6 linked regions of the Ovis aries genome follow. The protein of the gene in region 3 interacts with the protein of the main gene of each other region in a biochemical or structural test. Links are inferred from orthologs where the notes say so. Each region holds a gene or a part of one and is shown on either strand. Other genes may lie near its edges.

The links.
Region 1: the proteins of cyclin-dependent kinase inhibitor 2A (region 3) and CCND2 form a complex in vitro, tested with the Homo sapiens proteins (2 studies listed by BioGRID). The link is inferred for Ovis aries from reciprocal best matches to the Homo sapiens genes CDKN2A and CCND2.
Region 2: the proteins of cyclin-dependent kinase inhibitor 2A (region 3) and E2F1 form a complex in vitro, tested with the Homo sapiens proteins (2 studies listed by BioGRID). The link is inferred for Ovis aries from reciprocal best matches to the Homo sapiens genes CDKN2A and E2F1.
Region 4: the proteins of cyclin-dependent kinase inhibitor 2A (region 3) and SERTAD1 form a complex in vitro, tested with the Homo sapiens proteins (2 studies listed by BioGRID). The link is inferred for Ovis aries from reciprocal best matches to the Homo sapiens genes CDKN2A and SERTAD1.
Region 5: the proteins of cyclin-dependent kinase inhibitor 2A (region 3) and CDK4 form a complex in vitro, tested with the Homo sapiens proteins (12 studies listed by BioGRID and IntAct, with this or other methods). The link is inferred for Ovis aries from reciprocal best matches to the Homo sapiens genes CDKN2A and CDK4.
Region 6: the proteins of cyclin-dependent kinase inhibitor 2A (region 3) and TRIP12 form a complex in vitro, tested with the Homo sapiens proteins (2 studies listed by BioGRID). The link is inferred for Ovis aries from reciprocal best matches to the Homo sapiens genes CDKN2A and TRIP12.

Annotation. Positions count from the first base shown.
Region 1 is NC_056056.1:211,597,775-211,600,935, forward strand, and holds the end of CCND2 (G1/S-specific cyclin-D2), read right to left. Parts: exon of another isoform or gene 1,431-3,161; intron 651-1,430; coding exon 501-650; downstream 1-500. UniProt on the Homo sapiens protein: Regulatory component of the cyclin D2-CDK4 (DC) complex that phosphorylates and inhibits members of the retinoblastoma (RB) protein family including RB1 and regulates the cell-cycle during G(1)/S transition.
Region 2 is NC_056066.1:63,140,864-63,145,031, forward strand, and holds the start of E2F1 (transcription factor E2F1), read right to left. Parts: upstream 2,801-4,168; 5' UTR 2,668-2,800; coding exon 2,407-2,667; intron 1-2,406. UniProt on the Homo sapiens protein: Transcription activator that binds DNA cooperatively with DP proteins through the E2 recognition site, 5'-TTTC[CG]CGC-3' found in the promoter region of a number of genes whose products are involved in cell cycle regulation or in DNA replication.
Region 3 is NC_056055.1:90,755,901-90,759,963, reverse strand, and holds the start of cyclin-dependent kinase inhibitor 2A, read left to right. Parts: upstream 1-1,263; 5' UTR 1,264-1,592; coding exon 1,593-1,718; intron 1,719-4,063. UniProt on the Homo sapiens protein: Acts as a negative regulator of the proliferation of normal cells by interacting strongly with CDK4 and CDK6. This inhibits their ability to interact with cyclins D and to phosphorylate the retinoblastoma protein.
Region 4 is NC_056067.1:49,178,415-49,182,351, forward strand, and holds the start of SERTAD1 (SERTA domain-containing protein 1), read right to left. Parts: upstream 2,801-3,937; 5' UTR 2,675-2,800; intron 987-2,674; coding exon 267-986; 3' UTR 1-266. UniProt on the Homo sapiens protein: Acts at E2F-responsive promoters as coregulator to integrate signals provided by PHD- and/or bromodomain-containing transcription factors. Stimulates E2F1/TFDP1 transcriptional activity.
Region 5 is NC_056056.1:161,900,619-161,904,475, reverse strand, and holds CDK4 (cyclin-dependent kinase 4), read right to left. Parts: upstream 2,649-3,857; coding exon 2,431-2,648; intron 2,265-2,430; coding exon 2,129-2,264; intron 2,014-2,128; coding exon 1,846-2,013; intron 1,694-1,845; coding exon 1,584-1,693; intron 1,334-1,583; coding exon 1,283-1,333; intron 1,138-1,282; coding exon 1,002-1,137; intron 594-1,001; coding exon 501-593; downstream 1-500.
Region 6 is NC_056055.1:231,805,639-231,807,967, reverse strand, and holds part of TRIP12 (E3 ubiquitin-protein ligase TRIP12), read left to right. Parts: intron 1-586; coding exon 587-700; intron 701-2,072; coding exon 2,073-2,167; intron 2,168-2,329. UniProt on the Homo sapiens protein: E3 ubiquitin-protein ligase involved in ubiquitin fusion degradation (UFD) pathway and regulation of DNA repair.

The sequences.
Region 1 (3,161 bases), on a different chromosome or scaffold from region 3:
TTGTCACTCCCTCCCCATCCTGTCCCTCCTTGATTCCTAATTCCTTCTCAAGTTCATTGCTTCACAATCCAATCCTGCCATACGTGGCATCCGCAGTTCTTCCAAATTATCCAACAGGGGTATATACGTGCTAGTTCATAACATGAAAAAAAAGAGTCTCTAATTTGTTCCCATAGTGCAGGCGTACATTTTTCTCTAGCTACTCTGCAGGTTTTCCTGTAAGCATATTACTATGACTTTTAACATCATCAAACAGTAACTTGGCATATATAAGGGATTCCCTTCTGTTGTACTTCAAATAGGCACCAAATGCTTGTAATGATTTTGTTTTTATAGGACCTTTATCTCTCACTTCTAAAAGATCTTTCAATAGGATCTAGGTGGGGGCAGAATTTTTTTTTTTTTAAGTTTCATCCTAAAATGTAAGAGAACCAAATACAACCAGAGAGAAGGAGAGAGCGGATTGGACGCACCCCTCCCATTGGGCCCGCCCCACATCCTCACAGGTCGATATCCCGAACATCCGTAGGGGTGCTGGCTTGGTCCAGCTCATCCTCCGACTTGGATCCGTCGCCCTGGTCCTGACGGTACTGCTGCAGGCTGTTCAGCAGCACCACCTCAATCTGCTCCTGGCAGGCTTTGAGGCAATCCTAGAAGAGAGAAGCATCGAGACCAGGGCCGTTAGCAAGGGCACCGGGACACAGCAATCAACAGAGAGCACGCACGATTCCAGCCCGCCTGACTCCACACGCCAGCAGGTGGTGGTGGTGTAGTCACCAGGTCATTTCCGCCTCTCGCGACCCCCTGGACTCCAGCCCGCCAGGCCCCTCTGTCCATGGGATCTCCCAGGCAAGAATCCTGGAGTGGGCTGCCATGTCCTTCTCTGCTTCCAGTAGAAAGAAAGTCAACATGGAAGGAGGTGCGTCTTCCTGGTGGCCGGGGAACCACTCCAAGCGGGGTCCACAGGCCAGCAGCATCTGCAGCATCCGCACCACCTGGAAGCTAGCTAGAAATGCGATTCTCAGCCCTCTCCGAACCAGCTGCATCTCAGGATGTGCATTTCATCAGAAGCCCGGGCAGCGCTGGCCAAGGCGAGGGGCCATTTGCGGCCATGCAGCACCTGGTAACTCAAGGGCCAGCGGGATGCTTCCTGCTTGGGGCCACTGCATGGTGAGTGTGAAAAGGGGAAGGTGAGCCCTCCAGACAGTGTGACAGAACTAGACGACCTGAAGGGCAGATATAAGCGAAAGGACTAAACTACACTGAGCCTCCCAGCCACTGCAACCGTACTCAGAAACAAGCAGATTCGCCTCTCCACTTGTTTACCATTTCTTTAACTCTCATAAAAAACACAACACAGAGTGTTTACAACGTTCTGGACACTTAAGCCGTCTAATTTGGGAGAAAGCAAAAAGAAAAAACTGCAGCACTGCTTTGAGATCAGTCTATATTTGGTAGGGAAGATTCAGGGTGTGTCAGCCCCACGCAGAAGCTCCTCTAAACTGGGCGACATTGACGCAGCAGGAATTCATGGGCGTCGTCAGGGTGGGACGGTGGCTGGCACTAGCAACCGGGGCGAGAGCTGAAGTAACTGCTCACAGCAGATACTGGGTAGGCCAAAGGTTCGTTCAGCTTTTCCTGTAAAATGTTGTGGAAAAATCTGAATGGACTTTTTGGCCAACTCAGCATCTCCCGACCTCTCTACTCATCAAGACTGGTTTCCTGGCACTCTCGTAAACGTATGGAAACTATGTGAACTCCACTCTGCCTGGGTCTTTTCAGAGTTTCATGTATGTTCCCCTTGTGTTTGCTCCACCACGCAATTTTCACTGCCCAGAGGTTGCAGTCTGCCAAGCACACAAGCATTATCTCTATTTTCCAAAGATCTAAAATAAAGTTGGAACTCCCAGGAAAGTTTCCATGCCCCCACATTTTCCTTTTGTATCTCTCGGCCACCGTACACTGTTAAACCACAGCTTTTTAGGAAAATTAACATCTGGACCGAGCGCTGAGAGCAGATACGAAATACCACTCAGAATGAGTGAAGAGGGACAGAGGGAGGTGGTATCTGCTGTCCCCACGACCAGACCTGTGGGCACCACTGAGTTATTCTCCTTCTCTGTCCTTGGTTTCCCCATTTGTAATGTAAGACTCAGGAGACGCTCACAGAGGGAGGATCAGTTGAGATGTCCAAATGAAGCTCTAATCGTTCATCACAAAGTGGAAGTCTTGGAATCTGAACAAATTCCTGAGGTTTCTCTGAAATGAGGTACGAGTGAGCATTTGCTCAAGACAGGTGAGGGGCACAGAGGAACGCGCACCAGGGATGGAGCGTCCAGCAGGGATGCAGACTCTTTGCGAACCCACGGACTGCAGCACGCCAGGCTTCCCCGTCCTTCGCCATCTCCTGGAGTTTGCTCAAAGTCATGTCCATTGAGGTGGTGATGCCAACCAACCATCGCATCCTCTGTTGCCCCTTCCTCCTCCTGCCCTCAGTCTTTCCCAGCATCAGGGTCTTTTCCAATGAGTTCACTCTTTGCATCAGGTTAACAAGGCAAAAACTGACAACAGTCAACACTGCTCTGGCTGGTCCCCTACGAAGCTCTCCACCAACCCTGTCGACTTTCCTTCCTCCAAGACTCTGTTTCTGTGTCAACACAACTGCTACCCAACAATACGATGAACCCAGGATGCCATGACCATTTCTGCATTAGCCACACCAGCGGCTGAGATGGGTGGTCCTCTGAACATGGGGATGGGGCTCCAGAGAGCTAAGCAGCTTGATAGGGGGTCATGGACAGTCTCCCTGCAGGTCACCCAGGTGCCTGATCTTCCTGGTATTCAGGCTTCCCTCCCAGCAGCCTGAGACCCTAAAAGGAAAGTTCTGAGAAAGTCCTTCGGGGCGGGCTGGTACACCGGGCAGTCACTTCTACAGGACTTCAAGATAACACAGGCATCGAACATCACAAGTACATTAACTTGCAGCCCCAAACCTTCAAGCTTTCCTGAATAAAATGAAGAAAGATATCACACAAAACACAGACTCTCCTTCCTTCAGTCAATGTAAATCATTTTTGACAGTGACCAGCTCTTCCTCTTTGATACTTCTTGCTTCGAGAGAAAAGGAAGGACCGTAGCAGTTGCTGCAGAAATGAGGATGG
Region 2 (4,168 bases), on a different chromosome or scaffold from region 3:
CCACTTTCTCTGCTTCAGTTTGTATTATTATAGAATCCATTTCAAGAGTAACCTTGGTATCAGGGTGAGGACCATGAGGAATTGCTGCCTTGTCTCTAAAGTGGGGATGATGTGCTATCGGAACACAGGAAGAGAAAAAAGAAAAAATGGATGGGGCTGGGGATCTTGTCCCCCTCAACTTTCGCATCTCTTCCATAGTAAATATGCATTACATCCAGTTTGTTTTTTAAGAGCCATGACAACAGGGGAGATGTGGACCGGAAGAGCCAGGAGGAATGGTTGAATTGCACAGAGCCTTGTAGGCAGGAGGTACTCAATGAATGCTCACTTGTGCAGAAGCTGAGCCTGTAGCTTGTTTCAAGGACTGCCCCCAAACAAATGCTAGTGCAGAGGGTGAGTGGAGGCCACAGCTCAGATAGCCAGTGGCTACTCACAGGTACAATGTTAGGAGGTGTTGCACAGCAAAAGCTGGGCCCATGTTTCTGAACTACAGCAGCAAGGTGGTACTGGGCCCTACTCCTGCTCACGGCAGAAAACACGTACTAGCCCTTAAGTACTGTGACGGCAGAGGCTCTTTACGTGCCTGTGCCTAGAACCTCAGAGGCACTCACTAACAACTGCTGAATGAATGGAATGCTCAGACCCAGTGAGGCTGCCCCTGACACCCTGGGTGTGGAGCAGAGGGCAAACTTCCTGATCCCAGTCCCTGGCTGTCCCTCTAAGCCTGAAGCTCCATTGCCCAAGGGCAGGACCTGGGCCTAAGCACCTGTCCATCAGCTAAATGGAGGCTACTCGATCAGGCTCCAAGCTGGTACCTGCAGGGACAGGTTGCTGGGGTATAGGAGACCAATCAGGGGACCCACCCTGTGCAACTTCCCTCCCTCTCACTCATTTGGAGGAAGGGACCCTGGGCTTCCTACAATCTCTATTAGCATCTCCAGGAAGTAAGGCATGCCAGCAGTTAACCACTCAGGAAATCTGGTCTGGTCCCACCACTCATGAGCTGACTCACCAGGGAAGGTTCTAACATCTCTAAGCCTCAGCTTCCCTATCTGTAAAACGGGAAAGCTGTTGACAGGGTTAAATGAGTTAATTGGGTAAAGTGCTTGGCACATGGCCTAACTCACAAAACAGTCTCAAAACAATGGTGCCTCCTATTGTTATTATTAGCATCTCAGTGATTCCGGAAGGAAGGATGTACTGGGCAGGGGGCCAAAGGGGTCGGGGGAACCTTGTTGGGATGTCTCAGGGACCAGCTGCTACCCAGGCCTCCATCAGCAGCTGGGCTTCCACCTCCTTGCCCTGGGCCCTGCCTCCCTGCCTCAACTTGCTCAGCCAACTGTGCTGAGACCCCATCCTGCCTGCCCATCCATGCCCTAACTTTACCCACAGGCTGCACCAGTCAAACTGGTCTCCACGCCCTGTCCTGCAGCCCACAGGACCAAGCTCTAGGCCTCCGCCCCCTCCTTCCCCCCACCTCCTAATTCAGACACCTCTCTGGGCCCCCTAGTCTCAACTGTCTTTAGCCTCTCGCTGTGCAGGGAGCACTTTATCAAGGGATATCCCTGGGGCATTTACTCTCTCCTGGTACTGGGGGCCTCCTCACCAGCTCCCAGAGGCCTAGCCCACCCAGGACTTCCACTGGGGCCCGGGGGTCTGCCTGCCTGATTAATGAGGTTCCATGGCAACCAGGGCCTGGGAGGGTGGAGGGTGGCAGATGGAAGGACAGGCAGAGGGAGGGGATCAGCAGCTGGCCCAGTTACCCCCGCCCCTGCAGAGAAGGCCTCCCAGCCAGGCAGCCTGTCCCCAGAGGCCCGGAGGGCCAGGCCTGCACCTGGCAGTCCCAGAGGCAGGAAGGAGGGTCTCCTCAATGGCTCTTCTACGGACTGGTCCCAGAACACCCCACTTTGACCTCCCCAAGCAGCCATGCCCACCACCCAGCCACAAGTTATGGTCTGAAGCCAGAAGGCCTCAGTTTAAATCCCACTTGCAGCCTTGTGACCAGGGGGCAAGCCACTTCCCGTCTCTGGGCACAGTTCAGATGGGCACAGTGACAACACCGAGCTCACAGCATGGATGTGAGTTTTAGCTGCCTTGAAGTCAGCCAAAGGCCTGGCATGCAGTCAGCGACAGCTGAATACACGTGGACCATTATTATCATTGAGTCTGCTCCGGCGAGGAAGCTGAGGCCCACAGCACAGAGCAGCAAACAAGGACTGGCCCGAGGTCACCCCGCACCCCAGGGCGGAGCCCCGAGGCCCAACCCAGGCTCGGCACCGCCCAGCCTGGACGCCTCAGCCCACCCTCCCCCGCCCCCGCTGCCGCCGGGCCAAACATTGCGCCCCGCCCGGGTCTGCGCAGGGGTCCAAGGCAGCGCACTCAGCCCAGTGTCCCTGATGTCCGTACCGGCGGGCGGCCGAGCGCGGGGCGCGGCGCGCTGGGTGTGGGCCGGGGCGCCTGCGGCGTGGCGAAGAGCAGCAGGTCAGGGTCCCGGGGGCCGGCGGCCGGTGCGGCGGGGCCGGCGGGGGCCGGCGGGGCGCTGGCGTCCTGCGCGGTGGAGATGATGACGATCTGCGAGGAGTCGAGCAGCCGCAGCGCGCCGGCCCCGAGCAAGGCCTCCAGCGCCGGCGCGCAAGGGCCGCCCGCGGGGGCCCCGGCCACGGCCATGGCGCTCACGGCCCGCGCGGCCCGGGTGGCAGTCGGCGGCGGCGGCGCGGGCCCATGGCGGCAGGCCGAGGCGAGGGCTAGATCCCGCTCCGGATCCCGCTCCGCCCCCGGCCGCCGCTGCCTGCAAAGTCCCGGCCACTTTTACGCGCCAAATCCTTTTTGCCGCGAAAGAGCCACGAGCCGCCGAGCGCTACCACCATTGGCTGCCCGGACTGTGACGGAGGCGACGGCGACGTCACCCATTGGCTGCAGCGCGCCGGTCCGGCGGCGGAGGGCGGGACGGGGCGGCGGCGCGAGGGAGCACGACCAATCGGGGGTCGGGGCGCGCGCAGGCTTTGTCGGGGCGGTGCCAGGCGCGTTCGCACTCCCCGCCCTCAGAGGGGACGGCCCCTGTCCGAGGAGTGGTGGCCCCACCCCCTCCCCGACGCACCCCCATCTGGCCGATGCCTGTAAGTTGAGGACAGAATGTCCATTAAGCATATCTCAACGTCAGCAGACCCCACGTGACCCCGATAACTCTCACCTGTGGCCCCGACACTCTCGGCCAGATCTCTAGAAACTGCCCCTCCTCTCTTCTCGGTTCTCAGGCCCACCTCCAAGCTCCGGCCACTTCTCCCTCAACTTCCGTCACCAAAGCCGTTCACTTTCAAATCGTGTGCCCACCCTATTCCTCTCACCCAGAGCCCAAGCAAAAGGGAGCTGTCAGAAAACGGGGAGGGATATCTGGACCAATACAGCTCTGGGCTTTTCTACAAGCCCTCCTATAGCTGGAAACTCCAGTACCCTATGCACAACTTCTGCGTGAACTGATTCACTCGTTCAACAAACGTTTTGAGAGCCGGCTCTAAGCCCCATTCTTGACTCTTGGCGCTAAGGAACTCACAGTTTAGTGAAAAAGGGAAGAGAGAAACAGGTACAAGCATTTACAACATGATGTGGAATTTTCACTATTAATTCCATGTTAGATCTCACAAAGGGAGGAGGTGAGTATGCTGAGCATGAAAATGCATTTAATCCGGAGGCCCTGGGACCTCTCCATCAGCCATTTCTCATTGCTCAGATCAGCTGATTTGAGCAGTACTGTCCCCTCCTCTATGCCAGGCTCTGTGCCAGCACTAAGGGCAGAGATGCAAAAGGCTTGATGATTTCTATGAACTTGCCTGCCATCTGGTGGGGACTGACCCATCAGGGGAAAAAAAAACACTAAGACGCAGTCAAGAATGAGATCCCTAGGCCCCATATAAATATCACTTCTTCCAGGGAACACTCAAGTATTGAAGTTACTCGCTTCCTCCACTGTCCACCCCCACTTCTGTTCCAGCACTGAGCGGGCACACTGGATCTCTTTATCTGCTTTCCTTATCAGACTGGGAGCTCCAATAGGGCCTCTTCCCAGCACTGGCCTGGTCCACAGTAGGTGCAGAGAAGGACTGTAAAAAGAAACAGGCTCACACTGGAGGCTACCTGGAATGTCCCAGGTCTCAGAATCACCTGGGTGCTT
Region 3 (4,063 bases):
ATGGACTTGACTTCCCAGTCCCATAAGTGTTTTAATTGTCATTATTTAAAACCTCATGTGTTGCCTAAACTAACAGCCACTGAAAGTATAGTCAAGTATTATGGGTCTTCAAGAGGAGTCAAGTAGGAATTGAAATATAACTTTTAAAACAGAGCTGGGTTATCTAGCAGACAGATTAAACATTAACTTTTCATTAAATATGTCGGTCACTGGAAGATGTCCATCATTGTTTCAGTGATTAAGGTTTTCTTGCCTGCCCTTTTATATGTAATATTGATAATTCTACCTAAACCATTTCCTTCTCTGTCTCCTAGATTGCAAGAAAATCTTCAAAATGGATGTTAAGAGCTAACAGGCATGAGCTTAGGATGTGTGATACTGTTCTAAATGCTTATGTGTGTATCAATTCATTTAAAACTCAAAACAGTCCTAGGAAGTAGGGACACCTCTTATTCCCCCCTCCATTTTATAACTAAGAAAAGTGTAAGGTTTTTCTAACAGGAAGGAAAGGTGGACAGAAGTGGCACCAAGACAGTGTGTGAGCCTGCTTTCTGAATCATCTCCGAATGCAGCCCTGTCCCTAGAGCAATGAGCATGTTTTCTGGTGTAGGAGAAATTATTGAGAACAGAGCCTACTAAGCCCAAGGATACCCTTGCCACTTTCCTATCTGCGTACAGGTAGAAATCTCCACCATCCCTTTTAAATTGACCTCATCTGCTCGGAGCCAGCCCGTATACTGGGCACTAGTACCAGGCATTGTGCAAGCCTAGGAAACGCTCTCCCCCGACATCCGTTTTACATGTGTGTGGAGGGAGGGAGGCACAGCCTGGCGCGTGAGCCAGTTCTCCAGAAGGGACGTTTGAGCTAGAATTTCTGGCATAATCGAGCCAGCGCTCGAAAACCTGGTGCTGAGCGTTGGAGGGGGAGTGTATCCTCTCCAAGAAGGAAAGCCTCATGGTGGAATGGCTGATACCTATCCTGGGCGCTCGGGGCCAGGACAAGCTGGCTGTTTCTTCTGATTAAAAGAGGAAGCAATAACTTTGCCTATGACTCCAAACACACTGGTTCGAACTTGGCAGTTAGGAATCCTATGCAGTTGTCTCACGCCACTCAGGGTGTATACGCGAGGAATTTTCACTTGGCTGGAGTGAACTCGCTCGGAGCCGCGCGTGCGCCTCTGATGGGGGTGGGGGCGCGCTGCGCGCGGACGCGGGGCGGGGGGCGGGGAGGAGGTCCCAGGGCGCCCTCCTTTCGCGGTCCCGTCGCGCTACCGGAGCGGACAGCTTCCGGCCGGTGCCTCGGGTCGCGTGGGCGGCAGACCTGTGACCGAGGAGGCCCGGCGGGGGCTACTTCATAGACGTCTTGTTCGTTAGGAGCAAAGGGCGCCTCCTGGAAGAGCGCGTGGAGGGCGCTCCCCGGGTGGAAAGACTCCTCGGGAGGAGTCGAGGGGCCGAGTCTGGGGGCCGCTTCCGCCAGCCCCGTAGGAGGAAAGAGGAGGGGCGGGCTGCTCAGGAGCAGCCTGGGCGGGCCGCCCGCGCTCGACGCAGGCGGGAGGAAGGGAGGGAGCGAGGGGCGAGCTTTGGGGAGCAGCATGGAGACCTCGGCTGACTTGCTGGCCGCCGCCGCCGCGCGGGGCCGGGCTGACGAGGTACGGGCACTGCTCGAGGCTGGAGCGTTGGCCAACGCGCCGAACCGTTACGGTCGAAGCGCGATTCAGGTGGGTCAGCAGGTCTGCCGCGGAAAGGTGGGCGGCTGGGTGGGTGGGTGGATGGCGAGAGGCTTTGGAGGACGAGGTCCGCCAGTGAGTCGGAACCAGGTAAGCGTTTCTTGGTAAAGGGGAGACTTTTCAGACCGAGTTCGGGATCGGAGACCTCTCGGCGACTCTCAGGGGGCTCAGGACGGCCGCGGAGCTGGCTGAGAAGGCGCGTGGGGTTCAGATCTCTAAAACGGTGTGAAGATCTAGAAGGGAGAACCTACGTGTGTTAATATAGACCGATATGCGAAATTGACGAACGTCTGGAGTACGAGTATAAAGACAGTAAGACATGCTGGACCACTTACTCCCGAACTTATAAAATTGTGAATGGAGCTGATCGACTTCTTTGTTGGGGGGGGAGGGGCGGTGAGAGGGAGATTTCAGTGGAAATCTACTGCTGTGTAAGTTGGAATAAAGGTCGATTGAAATTATTCAGAAGCAACCATATATCGTGTTTATTATTTTTTTTTAACCGAGTAAGGAACATATATGCTTGTTTAGGAAATAGACATACATGAAAAAAAAAATTAGTGCAATTATGCCTGAAATAATGCTGCCAATTTAGTTACCACTTGAGTGTCTCTTACCTTTTGGGGTATTTTAAACTTACTTGGTATACATTAATTTCCTGGGAAGTTTTCAGTTCCTCATAGTTTAAAAAATGTCATTTCTCCTCTCCCCACTCCAGTTTTGTATGTGTGAGGATGAGTTGTGAGTTCGTTTTTCTGTGTGTGTGTGTGTGTGTGTGTGTGTGTGTGTTTTGCCTTCACTAACTTCCTAAATCTGGGGCTAAAAATAAATTCTTCCTGGCAGTCACTCCAGTTTTATTCCAGGTTTCGACAACGATTTCTGATTCTGAAAAATAATATTTATATGAAATGTACACTGCAAAAACTCCAGCATAACAAGACAAAGGAAAAGTAACTCAACCTGGAACTTAACAAGTGATTTCACAAGCGAATCGTCCTTTCCTCAAACTATGCTACATAGAACAGATATATTTTATATACTTTTAGATACAAAAATAAAAATAAAATATCCTCAAATCTGAGATTATTTGGGATTTGAAATGTGGAGAGATTTGGAGATTAAAAGGTTGAATGGTTGTAGAAGAGAAGCATGAGTTCTTTTTTTAAAAAATGCATGCATGATTCATAATTGGATATCTCTAAAGTTTTGCCAGCAGTTTGCAGACTGGGTGTTACAGCCTTCTAGTTCTGAAAGATGTTATATTAGACTTTATTGTTTAAATACAAAAAGAAAGATAATTAATTTTAAATTATTTTTAAATAGGATAAGGGCATCGACAAAAGGGATATGATTTTAGTTTTGAACCCTAACCAAATTTGTGTTTAAAAATACTTAGTTTATAGAAAAATTTTAATGACTAAATTAAATTTATATCTTCAGTTTGACTTAAGTACCCTAGAAATATTCATTTGAATGATTTTCTTTTTGCTTTGGATTGCTACTATGATTTAAATATTATGTTACTTTTCATACTTTAATACTGTAGCATATAATAATACCTTTAACCAATTTAATGACTAAGACCAAGGACTTCATTTATCCAACCCATGTAATATATTTTCACCTGCATTATATACAAGCATGGAAGGAGACATACATATATATATATGAGCTCTGGCACTTATAGTAGAGTTTCCAAAAGATTATGGTGTCCTTGGGTGTGGCCCCTTTGTTTTGGAAATTAATTCATAATCCATGAGAAATCCAATAGTGTAAATTTCCCCAGTTTTTATTTTAAAAAATTCTTTCTTCTAATGCACTGTTAGTTTTCCTTTTTGTAGCTGCAAGTTGGTTCACTTAAATTTTCTCTGTGGTTTTTTTTTTTTTTTTAATTAAATCAGTTTCACTTTCTCTAGGATAGAACTCAACAAGCATAGTATAACTTGTTAAGATTCCTTGGTTTGAACAAATTAATTCAAGTTTAATACAGAACTCAACTAAAAATAAATAATTCCTCAATATAGTGTAGCTAATGTAACCAAATAATGGTTACCCTAAAAAAGAATGTTCTATCACCTCCACCCAATGTATAACACTCAAATTGCAAAGTTGCTGTGATTGTGAACAATATTTCAAAATTCCTCTTTGGTAATGCTCTTGTATCATCAAAGATTATTTAGGAACCAAATGAAGTGAGCACCTCCTCTTTAATGAAGTCTGAGTGTGATCTTGGAAGGTGTCTTCCTATTTCTGCTATAACAAATTACCACAAATTTAGTATCAACATAAATTTATTATCTTATGGTTCTGTAAATCAGAATTCTAAAATGGGTCCA
Region 4 (3,937 bases), on a different chromosome or scaffold from region 3:
TACCAGGCTGTGCCTCCAGGGATTCAGCACAGGACCTAGTCCAATCACATTCCAGCCACCAGGCCCTGTCATTTCATCACAAGGGCCAATCCCAGACTCCCCTCCCCATCAGTCAGAGACAAGAGGATGGAGGTGAAGTTGCCCAGGACTGGATTCTTTCTCTCCAAAGCCCCTCTCAAGGGAAGCCAGCTGTGTCTTTCCAAGGAGAGTTGGTCCAGCCAGCAGGCTCAGTTTGGACATCAGATCAACATCCCGGCCCAGAGGGGTCAACGCCCTGGCCCCGGTGGTCGCTCCAGCGCCTGTGTGCCCACCAGCACGTCCATGAGGTAGTCCAGCTCGGCCTCGTCCAGATCTGGACCTACCTCCTTGCCTGGTCCATCTTCAGGGCTGGATTTGTGGCCCTCAGAGACTGGTGCCCAGAGTTCACTGTCATACATGGACGTGTCAATGTCCTCAAACAGGCCCTCGAGCCCATCGTCCAGCAGACAGCCAGTGGCTGGGCCCAGCAGGTCCAAGGCGCCCAGGCTGGGTGAGGCTCCCCCGGCAGGGCGGCCTAGTGGCCCCTCATCTACCAGGGGCTGTGGGGCCTGGCTCAGGCCCTCAATATGGCTGAGGTCCTCCAGAAGGCTGGCCATGGAGGCTGAGAGGGCAGCATCAGAGCTGGCCAGCAGGTTGTCAGCCACGCTGGGGGCTGTAGGTGGGGTGGGCACAGGTGGCAGGGCAGCCGTGGGTGCCATGGATGCCTGGATTCGCCGCAGTGTGTTCACTACCAGCACCAGGTGCCGCAGGTCCGGCTCACTCTGCCGCAGGCTGTGATGGAGCTTGAGCACCGAAAGGTCAAAGAGAGAACTGGAGGCTACAGCTGGGGGTGCCTGAGCTACTGCTGAGTGGCTGGGATCCAGCCACCAGGCGTCCACTGCCAGGGTTTCCTTCTCCTCCTCCTCCTCCTCCTCCCGCTTTCGCTTCAGGCCCTTGCTCAGCATCATCTGTGGGAAGAGTCATTCAGTTATGGAAAGCCAGTGTGAAGTTCTGACCATTGCTGTGTGATCTTGGGCAAAGCACTTAACCTCTCTGAGCCTACGTTTTCTTGGGGAAGCTTTAAGACATTGATGATAATTGTATCTACTTCCTAGAGTTGTTTTAAGGAATAAATGAGATTTTAAAAAGCACTTTGGACAGTGTCTGGTACACAGCAATTACTCCTGTAAATAAGTACTATTGATAATAACTATTATCTATTTCTTCAATGAACTATGTGAAATGGCTAACATGAAGAGTCCAGTGTGAAATGTCCAATATTCAACTTTTTTTTTAAAACCTACAAAAGCAGTTGTTTCACATGGTTTAATCTAATATTTACTGAGTGTCTACTAATAGCATCAGACAATAAACAAACACAAGAAATGTACGGATGGTGCTAGGAAGATGCTAAAAGTTTCTGGAGAGTGGTCAGGGAAGGCTCCCCTGAGGAGGTGACATCTGAAATGAGCCCTCAAGTACGAGAAAGAATCAGCCATGGAAGAACCAGGGGGAAGGCATTCTGGGAATAAAGAACAGCAAAGGCAAAGAAAAGCCTAGAGACTGGATGAGTCTGAGCTGAAAAAGGACTCTGTAGTCAGTGCGGGGGTTGGGGGTTGAGGGTGGAGTACGGAGGATGTGGGGGTTCGAGAGTAGGCAGAGGCAAGGAGCTTGGATTTTATTGGGGGGTGTGGTGGGAAGCCACTGAAGGGGTTTGAGCAGGGAGGACAGTGGTGTTGTGGACTGATTAGGTTTCCAGAAGATCCCCTTGGCTGCTAAGAGGAAGGGGGAGCGAGGAGGGGAGGGGAGAGCGGCCCTGAGATCCTTTCGGAGGCTACTGCAGTCTTTGGGGTAGGCGAAGACGGTGACTTGGGAGCATAAGGTGGCAGTGGGCATGGAAGGAAGATGGTCGCTTCAGGATTTATTTGAGAGACAGCGTGGACAAAGCTTGCCGGAAAATCCTGATGGGCACGGGGGTCACGGAGAGAAGTTTGAAGACCCACACTTTCCCCGGGGTGGGTGCCCCTGACCCAACCTGCTTTTTTTAAGCCAGGCAGCCTGTAGGGTATAGCACCCAGATCCTTGCCCAGGAGAACTTCAAGAGTGACCCTCTCACACTACTCAAAACTGGGTCCTCGCCTCCTTCCCAGCAAATCCGAGAGTCCGGAACCGCAGGAATTCAGCCCCCACTCCCGACTCCGCCCCTCTGGCCCCGGCGCCCCCTGGCGGAGCCAGGCCGGCTTTCCCCGGGGATTCCGACTCTCCAGACCCCAGGACTCTTTACAGTGCCCCGCGGGACGTGGTCATTTCTGCTTGCCACCAGGGACCGTGCGGGCCGGGATCCCCGGAGGGCCGTTCTGCCCTCTCGGCCTCCGCTCGCTTCCGGAAGGCAGTGGAGGCTACTCCTCCCGAAGCGGCGGCGGCGGCGGGGGCGGGTGAGTCACGCAGCCGGAGCCAGGGAGCCGGCGCCTCCGCCCCCTTCCCGGGCTGCGGTGTGATTCACCCGCCAGGCCCGGGCGGGCGGCACGGAGAGGCCCGTGCGCCTCGATCCCGGACAGCCCTGGCGCGCACCTGCCGGACCGGGGGATCGAACCTGCCAAAGAACCCCGCGGCCAGTACCCCTCTTTCCCCAGGCCTCTTCCCTTCATTTACATACCTAGTTCACCAGCTGCCAATCAGAAAGAAGAGGGAGCCACCCGCAGCCAATCAGGAAGCGGTGGCGGCAGCATTGCTCGCCCGCTCTGCTTCAGCAACCGGCACCTGGGTTGAGAGACGCAGTTCTGACTCCAGCTCACGACTCCCGGCTCCTGACTCCCCTTAGTTACCGCCCACTCCCGTGGCAGCCCCACCCTTCACCCAGGGATTGGTCCTAGACGGTGATGGGCGGAGCCTGTACAAAGCAGGCTAGAAAGAGGCGAGTTGTCTTTAGGGCGCATGTCCGGGAGGCTGCTTGAAGGGAGGGAGGAAGATAGGGTGGCTCTTGGCCCTGTAGGACGGTGGCGCGGTGGAGTTTTTGTCTCTCAAGCTGTGGGCCCCCTCACATCTGGCCACATCTGCATCACATCTGCACTTGTCAAACCCAATAATTGAGCTTACGCTAGCAGCCCCAACAGAGGTCTACACTCTAGGCCAGCTTAGTCCTGGATTCAAATTCTGGTTTTTGAGCCCACAGAGTCTGTTAAAGGGGGATCTTTTTGCCTACCTCTTGAGAGTTGGGAAACTTCAAGTAAGGTATTATCTGTAAGAGCACTATATAAGCAAATTCTGGGTAGTTGGACTCTGTCCTGTGATTACAGACAGGAGTTAGGGGTAGGGAGTGGAATGGCACTGGAGTCCCTTCCTGGGCTCCATTCCGTAAGTACAATAGCTGTGTGACCTTGACCAAGTGCTTTAATTCTTTAGGTTTTCTCACTTATTTTTAAAATGAGAGAAATAGCCTCTGACGCAGAGGATTGTTTTGAGGATTAAACAATTCCTGCACAATGCTGAGTGGTGTGTTAGGTGTCTTTTTTCATTAGTAATGGCTGTTGTAGTAATACCACAGGTGCTCAGTTCAAGGGGAGACATTCACGGTGGGGTGCACGTGGACAGGAGTTTAATACACGTCAGATAAACTGACAATGGGACTTACCTTCTTCAAATACCTCATTTGCTAATTCCTCATTCGCTAAGGGGAAGAACTGTTTGTGAATAAATCTTCTGACCAAAGTAAGCTATCAAAAATGCTAACTCAACTACGTGATTCAGACAACCATTTTCAATAGATGCTCACCCTTTGGGGTGAAAGTTAATGGGGAACAGGATCTCGACAGTTTCCAAAGCATCATCCCACAAATTCCTTGCTAACTGCAAAGGGGGAAATATCCTTTTATGATGGGAAGAGGAGGAGCTCAGCACCTTAACTATATAATGAAACTTT
Region 5 (3,857 bases), on a different chromosome or scaffold from region 3:
AAAATAAAAACCATTTAAACTCTATAATCAAAGAAGCCATGTAAATGCCTTTCCTTCCCTTGTTAGTAGAGGGGCTCCACTGACCCTGTGATCTAAAGAGAATCTGCAAGGAAATTCCATCTTCCAAATGGTTTTTTCCAAATTCCCAAACAGTAAAGCCAATCAGAGGAAGAAATATTAAAAAAAAAAAAAGACCATATTTGTTTTGTTTGTCCTGTATAAAAAAGGATCCCAATATAAAGGTATAAAGAAGGGGAGAACAAGGGACATATCTCTTGGTGTAAGGACACAGGATAAGGATAAGCCTCAAAAAGAAGGGTGGGAGGGGAATATTGTTAAGGCAGTAAAATATTGTCTGTAAAAAGTTGGAGGAGTCGTCTCCACAGCTTCAGAGGTGAAGGCAGAGGTTGCCTTCTCAGTGGTGGGGCTCTCCACTCAAGTGTTCAAAAGAAGGGAAATTTGTGTCTCTCGCCTTGGTTCTGTTCCAGCCATTCTGTTGCTCACTCTGCGTCACCTTCTGCCTTGTGTAGATAAGAGTGCTGCAGGGCTCGGAAGGCAGAGATTCGCTTGTGTGGGTTAAAAGTCAGCATCTCCTGAGAAGAGACGCAAATGTCAGAAAACATGGAAGAAACAAAAGGGACTCCTGCTTAACCCTAACAATACCTAGAATGGGTGATTTTTTTCTATCCCTCTTGTGGCCAGCCGTTCAAAACAGTAATAAAAACCAACCTGTTCATTATCAAGTCTCAGTAACAACAATGCATTTGGGTCCCTTTTATCCTGCTCCATTTCCCCCCACTGATGGCTCAAGTGGTAAAATAAACTGCCTGCAATGCAGGAGACCTAGATTCAATCCCTGGGATGACCCGCTGGAGAAGGAAATGGCAACCCACTCCAGTGGGCTACAGTCCATGGGGTTGTAAAGAGTCTGACAGGACTGAGTGACAAACACGTGATTTCCCCCTGTAGTCTCGCCCTGTGCCCATGCCTGAGTCTATTACCAGCAGCAGCTGTGCTCCGGATTCCTCCAGCTCAGGGACCACTGACTGCACTGGGCGGGGCCCTCTGGGGGAAAAGGCTCCTCGGGGTAGAGAGACATCTCGGGGCCAGTCATCCTCCGGGGGCAGTCCGATCAGGCTATGGGGAACAAGAGAATTCTGGTCAGGAGGGCCTTTTTCCAGCCCCCATCTCCAGGGGCAGAGCCAGCTGCTGTCAAGGACTCAGCAGAATGCAAAGTCAAGGACTCGGAATGCAAAGTTCTTCCCCCTTGCAGGTCACTTACTCAAAGATTTTGCCTAACTGGTCAGCTTCAGAGTTTCCACAGAAGAGAGGCCTAAGGTGAAAAGAGACAGTCATTCCAGTAGCAGTTTTACAAAGACAGGGTGGTAGATACTGTTTAGTGGCTCAAAACATAGGGTGTGGAGAATAAAGGGCTATGAAATTCCTAATTCCAGAACATTTCAGAGTTTCCGGCTATGGACAAGGTGGCCAATAGTAAGTGGAAGAGCAGGCAGGGTATAGGCGTGGCTTATGAATAAAAAACTTGGGAAATTCAAAATGTTTGGGATACTTGGGCCCCATACTTTCGACGAAACATCTCTGCAAAGATACAGCCAACACTCCACATGTCCACGGGTGTTGCATACGTAGACTGCAAAAGAACTTCTGGAGCACGATACCAGAGTGTAACAACCTGATGGGAATAAGTAATGCGGATGAGAGTCCTGCAAGTTACTGCAAAGCACATGGAAAAACACGCTCCTTCTCAACTGTTATGGGCAATCACTCTTCTCCCCCAGCCAGACCCCACTCTGGCCCCATCCTGGCCACCATCATTCTACTGACCACAGGTGTAAGTGCCATCTGGTAGCTGTAGATTCTGGCCAGGCCAAAGTCAGCCAGCTTGACTGTCCCACCACTTGTCACCAGAATGTTCTCTGGCTTCAGGTCTCGGTGAACGATGCAGTTGGCATGAAGGAAATCCAGGCCTCTTAGAAACTGGCGCATCAGATCCTGGTTTGGAAGGGGGAAGTACAGAGAAACTGGGAATCAGGTGCCACACCTGAAATTACAACAAACTACCACAAAGGTCTCAAGCTATCTCTCAGTGTCTGCCCGCCCTACTTACCTTTATGGTCTCCACTGGCAAGCCTGGTGGGGGTGCCTTGTCCAGATACGTCCTGAGGTCTTGGTCCACATGCTCAAACACCAGGGTCACTTTGGTCTCCCGGTCAGTTCGGGCTGTTGCACAGACGTCCATGAGCCTGGCCAGAACAAATGGTCACTCATTGAGCAATGGTCTTGGACCCAACATGGCCTCCCCTATTTCCTCAGGGTTCCCACTCCTCTTCTGACCACCACTCCACATCTACAGGTTAGGCTGTCTTTTTCCTTTCACGACCCATTCCCACCCTTCCATCTTCTTCTCACCTGACAACATTGGGATGCTCAAAAGCCTCCAGACGCCGCAGTAAGGCCACCTCCCGAACGGTGCTGATGGGCAGGCCCCCTCCAGCACCTCCTCCGTTGGGGACTCTCACACTCTTGAGGGCCACAAAGTGGCCACTGTGAGGATCACGGGCCTTGTACACTGTCCCATAGGCACCGACACCAATCTCAGCCACTGGCTCGTATCGAGAGGTAGCCATTCTCAGACCAGAGGAGGCCCTACAATCACAGAGGCTCAATGAGCCTGCAGCAACAAAGTGACTCCCACAAAAGACATCACGAAGACAACACCAACAGCATTCCCAAGCTTCCCTGAAGGCAGCCCCCTAGGTAACACAATAACTCTAACCCCAAACCCTCCAGCCACGTGAGGCCCTATAACTTTTTCAAAGATGCATTTTCCTTGGGGACCATCAAGCCCCACACAAGGGAAATCCCATAAGACACACCCCCTACATCAAAGACCCGACACCCAGTTCCTGAAATTACACCTCCCTTCGGCCACAAAGGAACATTATCACATCCTGCCCCACTTCCCGCCCTCGAGCAACCCTTCCATAACCAGCCCGCGTAGGAAGCAGTGGACGGCGAGAATGGTCCCCATTCCTGAAAAGGGCTACACTCACCTCGCCCCGTGTCAGGAGCTGCGGGGTCGGCCCGTTATCCGGACCCCGGAGCCGGTTCCTGCAGCGCCATACACTCGAGGTCTGTCCTGGGCAGCTGGACGCTATGGGCCCGACCATAGACACAGGCCGCAGGCTAGAGCGGCCCCCTTTACCCCCACCCTCACCATGTGACCAGCTGCCAAAGAGGCGCGCGGAAATTGGAGGGGCGGGGCCAACGCCGGACGTTCGGACCACGTGACCGGACTACTCATGCGCGGAGGGGCAGCCAGAAAGCGGCTTTGAACGAGAAAGGGGCGAGGAGGGGAAAGAGGCGGAGAGAGATGGCAACCACATGATCTGTTGCTATCACACGTGACCGCTTGACATTGCTTGGAGGAGCAGAGGTGTGGTTACGCTGAAGGGCACGTGACTGGCTGCCTTAACTCTGGCTGGGCGTTGGGGCGGGAGAAGAGAGAGGGTGGAGTCCAATGCGATGCCATGGCAACCTGGGCCACCCAGGATTCCCAACTCCGGGCTGCAAGCCGAGCCTGAGTCTCACTACCTGTCTCTCACTCTCTCTAAGCGGGGAGATGGGTCGAGGGACGGGAGGTGCTGCTGTCGTCTTTCTGCTCCATCGCTAGCAGAAAACATGTTCTCATTTGTGTCTTTGTTTCATTCATTCATTCAGCAAATGTTTACTGAGTCCTTGCTTCCTGTGTGTCTGTGGGGTTTCTTTTTTTTGTTAATTTTTTTTCGACAAGTGTCGCAGACACTTGACCTTTATCTATAAAGATACAGTCACAT
Region 6 (2,329 bases), about 140 Mb from region 3:
CCATCCTTGACCCTGTTTATTAAGGAAAAGCAGTTTTGTACTGATCCAAATTATATTTTAGATTGCAATCTATATGTCTTTATCATCACTACTTTTGGAAAAGTTTCTTTTGTTTATTCCTGACATTGAATGGAAAGAGCATTTGGTTCTAGGCAGAAAGCCACCTACAGCTCTGAGACCAGACTTTTCCAAAAGATGGTAATTGTGACTCTTGAAACATTATCTTTAATTCTCAGTAACATTTCATCCTCCTGGGAAGTTTCATCTGTTTTTCATCTGATAAGGTAATTTGTAACTCACAGGGATAGTATGTAAATGAATTTTTAAAACACACTAAATGTAAATGCATGCGGCATTTTTTACATTTTCTTAATGGCCAGACCCAGAATCAGAAGTTGACCTGACCTATCTGTTACTTATGCAGTTTTCTGGAACATACTCTAAAGACCGTGGAATTTTTTTTTTTTAAGTAATCAGGAAGGATATTTCACTGTACTTTGCCAAATATTAAGTAGGAAAGAGATTTGAACTCTGGTCACAGATTTTTAAAGAGACTTGTTTTTTCTTTCTTTCTTTTTTTTTGCAGCTGGTTATATTTTGGGCACTAAATGAAGGTGTTTCCAGGCAGTTTGATTCATTTAGAGATGGATTTGAATCAGTCTTCCCACTCAGTCATCTCCAGTACTTCTACCCAGAAGAAGTGAGTAGCTTGTGTGCAAAAGAAATGGTCATCTCTAATTCCATACCTGTAATTATCTTAGTGAGGTATCTCTGTACTTTTTAGTCAGATACCCTGTTGTTATGAGCAAATAAAATTGTGGAGCGTTGGGCTTTAAGAGGGTAGTTTGGGAAAAATAAGATCATTTCCTGAGTGAGGAAGAATATTCAATATGATGTTTTTTTTTCTATAATACATTTTCTGGCTGAATCTGCAAATCTTTGAACAACTTAGCATTTTAATCTCAATTATTTTTAAGTCCACTTTGATTTGCTACTTATTGAAAATGTGTGTACCTGGCACTTTTAGGCACTAAGTGTCACCTGGAATTGAAAACAGCAAGGGTTTCTTTTGGAATTGGATCCTGGTCCCCACTACCTGGGACTTCCCAGGTGGCTCAGCAATAAAGAATTTGCTTGCCAGTGCAGGAGATGCAGGTTCAACCCTGAGTCAGGAAGATCCCCTGGAGAAGGAAATGGCAGCCCACTCCAGTATTCTTGCCTAGGAAATCCCACGAACAGAGGAGCCTGGCAGGCTACAGTCCATGGGGTTGCAAAGAGTCAAATATGACTTAGTAACTAAACAACAACCTTACTGCTTAGCTATGTGACCTTATCCAGGTTTTCATATATAACCTGACTGACTCGTTCATAAAATTGAGGTAAACTCTGTCTCACTGAACAAGATACATAAAGAACCTGACATTGAGTGACATGTAGTAGATACCAAATTTCACATGTGCGGAATGGATTTTCTCAAAGTAGACAAGTCATCCTGCATATGGGCAGTCAACCAGGTGAGAGATGGATTAATTGGATACTGATGTTAGATTTTTATCCTAAGGGCATGAGCATTTCTTTCCAGCATCTGTCCTCTAGTGACTGTCTTAGTCCTAGACAACCATCTGGCATAGAAGTGCCTTTGCAAAGCGGGAAAACCTCCCCGTTTGCTGTTGGTTCAGCTTTCTTCTCCCACTTCTATCTCCCACTCAATATTCTTTCTGTTAGCTTCCGTTATTGTGTGCCCTTGCGTTTCTAAAAGTCAGGATTTATAAAATCTCTCTGGTCAGAGGTAGATTATGAAGTTAAAGCCTCTAAAGAAATGAGAAGAATTAGGTAGGTTTTGGTTCAGATTAAAGGCTTCTCTAGAGCCTAGTCCCTGCAGATGGTCAGGGCACCCGTTACTGTCAGCTACAGAGGAGAGTGAATCTGTGACTAATAGTGGAAGAGCATGTTGTATAAAGAGCACCAGGCAGAAGCTTGTGGACTTAATATCAGGACACCACAAAGCAGAACACATGCCACTTCGCTCAGTTGTGTCCTTAGTAATCTGTTGCCCTTGTTTAAACACACAGCTGGATCAGCTTCTGTGTGGTAGTAAAGCAGACACTTGGGATGCAAAGACACTGATGGAATGCTGCAGGCCAGATCACGGTTACACTCATGACAGGTAAGGCCTGGGCTCTGCCAGGTTTCAGATACACACATAGGTCTAGGTTTTAAAGTTTGTTTACCTATTAAAGGAGGCTTTCCAATATTTTGGCTTCATTTCTCTCAAGACTGGGACTTGAGGACTGAAAGGGGTTTTGGGCTTTTTTGCCCCAAGTGTTTC